Regions from separate parts of the Mus musculus genome. Here region 2 is reported to be linked to region 1. The links are microRNA targets in miRTarBase. Many come from high-throughput screens and were not tested one by one. Region 1 holds a microRNA gene; the other region holds the end of a gene's coding sequence.
The links. The annotated mature microRNA mmu-miR-1b-3p reads UGGGUACAUAAAGAAGUAUGUGC and lies in region 1 at 1,471-1,493, opposite strand. An mRNA with a match to its seed (bases 2 to 7 or 8) in the 3' UTR can be bound and repressed. Matches are read on the target gene's strand: a 7mer-m8 pairs with bases 2 to 8, a 7mer-A1 pairs with bases 2 to 7 and ends in A, and an 8mer does both.

Region 1 (4,546 bases):
TTACCTCACCCAGCTTATAAAACCAGTGCTGAAACAGCAGCAGTGTGAAAGAACGGTCATGATGTGGTGACTGCAATGTTACTGTAGGTCACTACATCTCTTCCCTGTAAGTGGGGCAGGACACTAAGCTCACAGGTAAATCAAGCACAAGAACCAACTTGGAAGGACGCTTCTGACTTTCTGCATGCTTATCTAATATTGACTGATATATATTCTCATTGTTAAATTAATTTATATCTGGGCATAGGCTAATTTCAAAGCTCAAATTAATAATTTAGTTTTAAAAATGCCATTGTTCAAACAGCATGCCAGATAACTTCAAAAATATACAATCTACCACTAACATTACATCACTACAGACAGGGTCTTTATTGTTTTCAATTAAACAGTTGTTTCAATTGTGTCTCGCTCCTCTAGTAAACCTGCATCCCTGCCTCCAGAGCACAATAGCTTCTAAAGGCTACTTCAAGATTTGGGTTATGAAATGTCTCCCCTTGCTTACTACTCAGGCCACAGACATCCGCATGCTGCTGCACGGTGCAGGTCTCAGCGGCACTGCTGACTGAGGCCCGCGTTGGCAGCTTACTAGCTTTCTTCATGGACTGCAGAAATCCTATTCCCCCACTTCCCTCCCAGCACCCCCTTTTCTATTCTTTACCAAATCTCAAAGCTTCTCAATGTCTCCTTTTGAATTAACCTTCAAAATGTCTTAGTGACTATAGGCCACTCCCAAATTATTTTTTTTTTCTTGTGCTAAATATTCAAGGTAAAACCCAGAGATTCACAGACTAAAGTGCTTCTCCTCTTTTATGGAGACTTTGGAAAAGTTATTTTAGTACTTTTCCATTATATTAAAAACCATTTTTAAAAAGTAATCTCATACAAACCAAGCACGTAACTATTTGAATTTGCATTCAATGCAAACAGAAACAGAACAAAAACTTGGCTAAATGATTTGTAATCTGTTACCTTGAAAATAAATTTCCATTTAAAAACATTAATTCACTCACACAATGAAATGATCCAATTTCAAAGCCTGTGCTAACTGTAACTTGTTTCTCCCAATAAGTTTTAAGTAGAAGTATCTGGTTTATAAAAACAATTTAGACTAAATTGATTATCATCTGTCTGTAAAGGATCTAGAAGCAAATTATAAAGAAGAGGGAGGCACGACGGAGAGAGCAGCAAGCGTGCTAACATTTCTGAATACACTTAAGACTCTGCTGACTGCATCTCTTGGAAAAGAAGCAGCAGGGCAAAGCATGGCAGTGCTTAAAAGAACCACAAGCAGAAGTGGCATTGATGGGATCAGGTAAATCTGTTGTAAAATTCAGTCTCTGATAAGCTAATCTCCGCACTGGATCCATTACTCTTCCAGAAAAGTAATCCAAATGTCCTACTAACAGCTGGGTGAGGTGGGCTGCTTCATGTTTTCACAGCTATCGGCCGGCGCAGGAGTGCCTACTCAGAGCACATACTTCTTTATGTACCCATATGAACATTCAGTGCTATGGAATGTAAAGAAGTATGTATTTTGGGTAGGTAATGTCCGCCAAGAAGAAGCTAAAGGAAACTTTCCAGGAGGATGACTTCCATACTCTGAATTCACCTGTAATACTAACAGCCCCATTCCAAAAGGACCAGCCATTCACTGGGAAAACTAACATCCCTTATACTGTACTGAAGAGATAAGTCCCGTGGAAGTGGATTTTAATTTTCACATTAAATCATACTACACTCTACACTGAATACTCACGTGATTAAAATGTGACTACTACAGAGGAAATAGTATTGCTAGCGCAAAACAGTGAGACACAGGATCAACCATTATCTGTCTTCACAATTGGATATTTTAGTGTCTCACATCTATCAAATCAGGACCAACAAATCTAATAAGAAAAATAAAGCAACAAAAAGCTGATTTTACTCATATAATAGCTATTCTTCACATGTGGCAAAATGTATAACCTATTAAAATCAGAGGATCTCGTAAGCCAAAAATTTTGGTTTCATTATTTTCTTTTCTGACAGCTATTGAAACTATAATGTTTAAAGACTATCTTTTAAGTAAAATTATACTGCACACATGAAAACTGGCTTTTGTCCTTTTCCAGCTTGTCAGTTCTTAACCCAATCTGTACTTTAAGTGCAGTTAATACTTACAGCATGAAAAAGAATGATAAAAATGGCAAAACCCTAGGCCACAACTAAAATGTAAACAGGATATATTGGCAACAAACTGTCAAAAACCTGAGTCTGTATTGTCCTTGCTTATATCAAATGACATTGTTTTTCTCACAATGAGTTATGAACAGCTACATTAGTTATTCCACAGGTCTGAAAGGTTTTCATAATTCTTTAAGAAACATTTTCACAACTAATAATTTGTTACAATCCTTAGAGAATATTAGCTATTCATTTATAAAATAAAACTGAAAACTGATTTTGTTGCTTCCAAGTTCAGCTTTTGTCTAGGAGTGTTTTGAATCACTTGAAATGTCACATCCAGCACTTAGATCAGCTGTCCCTTTTGAAGTGAGTACATGTTAAACTCTGGGCATCTGCTGACACTGCTATTACTCAAACACTTCAACTGTCACCCTGACAGGGATAACAGATGCTGACACTATCAGATGCTGGACTATTTTTTCCCATGGCCTCTCCTTGTCCTGATATGGCCAGTACACGAAACTCAATGATCCAAAAGCACACTTGAGCAACTGCACTTGCTGACTGGCTGCCAGGGACCTACTAAAATAGAACCAGGCAAGTGCTATCTTCAGCACTTAAGTTTAAGCAACCAAATACCTGTTTCACTATTTGGAAAAAATGATGCAAAGAATTAAAATTACATTAATTTCACCAGAAGCACAATAATTAACAACAGATGTAGAATAGAATATTAAACTATTTGCATACTGTCTGAGATTGTGTTGTCCTTCTACCATATTAGTTTAAAAAAATAAAATTATATGGTATTTCCCTCAGCATTCTAATTTTACAGACAAGCTATAATATATCAAACTTTTATTGTATGAGTATGTGTCAGAAGACATTCTCTTCAGGCAGGAAATCTCCAACAGAATCACATCAAATGCTTAAGTACTGGTTTTAAAGTATCACATGGTAGGTTTTAATATTCAAAATTCAGGGATTATAGCCAACTACCATACATCAATGTATCACTAACCTTATAATAAGAACAATCTATACTCAAAACAGCATAGAATTTAGTCAAGAAAATAGATTTTTAAATTTTATTTTATTTTTAATCTATTTTTTACACTCCACATTCCATTCCCCACCCCCACCCCCCTCTACCCTCCAACTGTTCCACATCCCACATCTCCTCCCCACCCCACCTCAATAAAATAGATTTTTAAGAAGGTTAATTTCTGAACTTAGGGTTAGTATGCCAACATAAACAAAAGCAAAGAATGACACTGAAGATATGTGTGATGTATTAATAAATTAAAGGACAGAGTTACTTTCTTAAGGCCATTCTTATCCTTCCACTCCGTATCAGAACTTGTTAAGTCCTCAGCTAAAATAGAAGCAGTACAAAAATATGTAGCTAACATGACCCTTTTTCAACATCTAGTTTAATTACTTAAAAACCTGGTTTGCAGGCATGGTGGCAGACTGCTTTAATTCCAGCACTTGGGAGGCAGAGGCAGGCAGATCTCTGTTTGAGGCTAGCCTGGTCTACAGAGTGAGTTCCAGGACAGCCAGGACTACACAGAGACCTGAATGAACAAACCAACATGGTGATAATTTAGAAGCATTACTCTGAAACACATGATGATTTATCTGTTCTTTCAAATGTTGGTTTTGAAAGGCTACTGTGTGCATTTAAGAACTAAGTAAAGATGCACTGATGTGAGCTGCAAGAACAGCAGTGTAGGACATATGCCTAAACACGTGAATTTTCTGTTTAACAACTGGTACACTAGTGTGGGAACCTCTAATACCTGTCATGCTATATTTCTACAAAAGAGCATTTAACCTGTTTGGATCCTACACCAGCAGCGGCAATGCTTTGCTAAAGCTGGTAAAATGGAACCAAATCGCCTCTTCAATGGATTTGGTCCCCTTCAACCAGCTGTAGCTATGCATTGATTACACATGGACAGCCAGTGTTTTATGAGCATGAATTACATCTCAACTTACTCAATTCATACAAACTGTAACTAAAAGCAAATACCTAGCAACTGTCAACCTTATTTGGAAGAACTAAACTGGATAAAGATGTTTCTTAAAAGCTTCATGAAATGTGATAAAAAGAATTTCAAATAAAGTTATTTATTTGTGGTTGTGGTATTAACTTTTCATTTTAATTAATAAAATGTAAAAATTTTTATAAAAGCACTTTAAATCTTAGAAGTGACATAAACTTTTCTTCTTCTGAAAGTGATAATAAAATGCTTACTGTACCTCTAATAAAAATGACAAAAATATTTGAGAAATTCATCAAAAACTCACCTAAAAACATGATGGGAATATCTCACTTTTCATATGGGCATACATAAAAGTTATTTTTTTTTAA
Region 2 (4,000 bases), not on the chromosome of region 1:
GAGCCCTTCTTTGGCTAACTTCATAGACTGTGAAGAATCCAACAGCGACAGTGGAGAAGAGCTAGAAACCCCACCACCCTCACTGCAGGGAGGTCTGGGCCCCTCGACACTCGTCCAGCAAAATGCTGATCCGGATGTGGACATACCACAGTGGGAAGTCTTCTTCAAAAGAAGAGATGAAATCACAGGTGAATGTTTGGAACACTTACCTTCCTCCATAGAGACAGGGGGATCTCAGTCACCAAAGCTCTGCAGTGACTCACCAAAGCTCTGCAGTGACTCACCAAAGCTCTGCAGTGACTCTGATGGAGACTCCACCCATATCTCTTCCCAGAATTCATCTCAGTCAACCCATATAACAGATCAAGGAAGTCAAGGCTGGGACAGCCAGTGTGATACTGTTTTGTTATCTTCCCAAGAGAAAAGTGGTGGGGATAGTACCTCTTTAAACAAGGGTGCCTACAAACCAAAACTCAAAGAGAGTATTTCTGCCTCTCAAATAGAACAGGATGCACTGTGTCCACAAGATACTCACTGTGATTTGAAAAGCAGAGCTGAAGTAAATGGAGCCCCTTGTCTTGTAGAACTAGACACCCTGAGTGGCAGGAAGTCTCCACCTGAGAAGACATTGCTAAGCAGCACACGTGCAGACTCACAGAGCTCCTCTGACTTTGAAATCCCCTCAACTCCCGAAGCGGAGCTTCCTACGCCAGAGCATTTGCAGTGCTTATACAGGAAACTGGCAACAGGTCAAAGTATAGTTGTCGAAAAAAGAAAATGTTCACTTTTAGATAGTTAACAAATAAAACTCTACACAGAGAAACCCTGTCTCGAAAAACCAAAACAACAACAACAACAACAGAAAAAAAAACCCTCTCATTCTAGCAAAGATGTCCAGCCTTTCGATGTTGCAATACAATGCTATACATAAAAGTCCTGGGCAATATCCATAGCTGTGGATGTATGTGGCCTGGAGGGTAGACACACTTGTTAGATCAACCACAAGAAATCTGCAGAGTGACACATCTATATAATAAGATCAACATGAAATATTAAAGGATGCTCAAGTGACCTAAAAGAAAGAGAAACAGGCTCAAAACCAGCATTGCATGAGATGGTAGAACTAAATCTAAACATATAATCACATTAAATGCAAATGATATAAAAAGATTTATGGTGAGATGGCTCAGTGGGTAAGAGCACCCGACTGCTCTTCCGAAGGTCCGGAGTTCAAATCCCAGCAACCACATGGTGGCTCACAACCATCCATAACGAGATCTGACTCCCTCTTCTGGAGTGTCTGAAGACAGCTACAGTGTACTTACATATAAATAAACAAATCTTAAAAGAAAAAAAAAAAGATTTACAAAAAGACAGAGTACAGGAAAAACACTGCCCAACTATGTGCTGTTTTTAGAAAACACAACTCAAGTGATGTAAAAGTTGAAGGTAAAGGGCAGACCACATAAATAATGTTAAAGCCAGAATGATACAGTAGGAGCAGGCACCTTCCCCAACATAATGTCTACCTCACCAAGAAGATGTAATGGTAAGGTTCTTGCCTAGATTGTATGAAGGCCTAGCTGCAGTTTCCAGTACAGTACAGTGCCATGCCCTCCACAAAAGAGCAAATAATACAGATACAAGCCATGGAACACGCTTTCCTAGAGAACCAGTGCACACAGGAAAGCAGTAAGACGAGAACTGACCACCAGTAACTGGATCTGATAGACAAGAGTATTTTACTTCATAGCAGAATACATCTCTTCAAATGTACAAGGACCATTCCTCCACCAAGATACACTGTATCTTGAATCACTACAAGCAGTCTAGAAAAATAAAGGTGGGCTCTATTTTAGTAAACTGGTAGCAGGGGGTAAACCAGGACCTTATTAACCTCTATCACATAAAGACCTGGGTGGGGGGGCAGGGCTGGAGCAGTTTAGAGCACTTGTCGGTTTTGTGGGTTACCCAGATTTGGTTCCCTACACCCATATGGTGGCTCTTAACTGTCTGTAACCCCATTCCAGGGGATCCATGCACACATACATACATACAGGCAAAAGACTCATATATAAAAATAAACCTTAAAAGCTACCAGCAGGCTAGGCAAGGCTGTGTTCTACAAGCTGAGACTAGAGGGACTTGAGTTGGAGGTCAGGCCTGGGCAATGTATGTAGCAAGAGCTTGTTTCAGTACATGAAACTGTTCCCAATGCAATGATGTAAAGGAAAATACTTAAATATTTAACATACATGCTCTGTGAATTATTAAAGTGCCTTAAGGTACAATGCTTTTGTATTGATGTGTATGGATTAATAAAGCTTTATAAGCATTTTCATAAGTACTTGAGTATGATGACATTTTACAAATCAAGGGAAAAGATGTAGGCACACCACATAAGTTTAAAAGGCGTCTAACAATTTGACAGTTAAACTGCATGTCACAGATCATAACTGCTACACAATTAGATCCAGAATTACTGGACCCAACCTGCTGGGTGATTGGACTTAGAATATCTGTACATATAACTCTCCATTTGTGTAGTCACTAATACTCAAAACTTAATTTTAATTTTGTTTCCTTTGACCTGAGCCACACTCAACCCAACTTGGTTTTAATAGAATATTTCATGATCCAAGGTAACATGCCTGTAAACATTGTTCTCAATGTATTTCTAACATTTTATCATTGTAATGTTCATGTTTTAGATCTTAAGTCTGGCATGAACACTGGCTGGCAAAGGTCAAGAGCTAAGAATACATGCTTATCAGCTTAGGTTTCAAATACAGAACAACAGGAAATCTTTACATATGGTGTTTATTCTGTTATTAAAAAAAAAGCCCACTTTATAAAGCTTTAATCTATGAAACCATACTTTGAGGTAGGCATGAAACTAAGGCACAAAGGTTAGTTCACATAGCTAGTAAGCAACACACACACACAGACACACACACCCCGAAGCTTTTAGAGTCCATGCTCGAGCACTCTGCTGTATGAGGAAAGCTCTTTACATAAAGCATTAAAACGGGCAGCATTGATTGTAGTGGCTACATCATTCTTCAAGAGTTCTAAATTAGCAAAGTTAAAAACATTTCAAAATGCCAAGATACATCACAAAATCCTAAAGGCTAGCCACTTTTACTTCAGAGAAGAATCAAATGCAAACTGATTGTATATACCTTCTCATACAACTTGACAAGCCTAGGGTCACCTGGGAAAAAGTAACCTCATTTGAGAAACTGGCTCCATCAAAATTGGCCTGTGGCATGTCTGTGGGGATTTCCTTAATTGTAATTGATGTAGCGGGGTCTAGCTCACTGTGGGCAGTACCATTCCTAGGCAGAGGGGCCTGGGCTATCTAAGAAACCTAGCTGAGCATGAGTCTGGCTGAGAGTAAGCCAAGAAGCAGCGTTAGCTTTCCTACATGGTTCCAGCCTCTGCTCAAGTTCCTGTCATGATTATTTCCAAGGACATGTTGCTGAAGACACTACATACTTGGGACGTGTGACGTGAGGAATCAGGCTCCAGCTGAATTGATCACTTTTATCACAACAATGTGCACACACATACACATACCCTGTATAAATAGCTAACATGAGGTGACAGTCTGAGAGGGATGTAATGGGGGAATGTTGAGAGGCAGGAAAGAGTAATGGAATAGTGAAGGGAAGCAATGACCATTACATGTGTGGCACTCAGAGTGAAGTCTGTTTGTGTTTAAAGGTAAAAATCTCCAGGCTGGCATGGTGGCACGTGTCTGCAATCCCAGCGCTGGGCCGTAGGGGGGCAGAGCTGAGGAGTTCACGATAATACTCAGCTACACAGTAAATTCAAGGCTAACCTGGCTACAGATACTCTGTCCAAAGGCCTACCCACTCCCCACAAAATCTTAAGGGCACATTAAATTTCTATTAGTAAGGACAAAACAAAGCCACATATTTATTAAACAGTATTTTCCTTCTTGCCCTCCTAAGTTTCCTTTTAACCTTAACAGTAA

Region 2: the mRNA of Dclre1c is a reported target of mmu-miR-1b-3p. The part of its 3' UTR that is shown has no 7-base or 8-base seed match.

The regions. Positions count from the first base shown.
Region 1 is chr18:10,782,472-10,787,017 of GRCm38, reverse strand. It overlaps Mir1b (microRNA 1b), which reads right to left and starts at 1,572; the gene lies at 1,451-1,572. The region is part of intron 12 of Mib1 (mindbomb E3 ubiquitin protein ligase 1); the gene reads right to left. It overlaps Mir133a-1hg (a long non-coding RNA gene), which reads left to right. Exons shown (of 3, transcript XR_877177.3): 2 at 1,137-1,312. It overlaps Mir133a-1 (microRNA 133a-1), which reads left to right and starts at 4,042; the gene lies at 4,042-4,109. It also overlaps Mir1a-2.
Region 2 is chr2:3,453,011-3,457,010 of GRCm38, forward strand. It overlaps Dclre1c (DNA cross-link repair 1C), which reads left to right. Exons shown (of 14, transcript NM_146114.3): 14 at 1-2,344. The coding sequence ends at 799. It overlaps Suv39h2 (suppressor of variegation 3-9 2), which reads right to left. Exons shown (of 6, transcript NM_022724.4): 6 at 2,805-4,000. Among named protein-coding and RNA genes, the nearest start is that of Suv39h2, 20 kb to the right of the region's middle.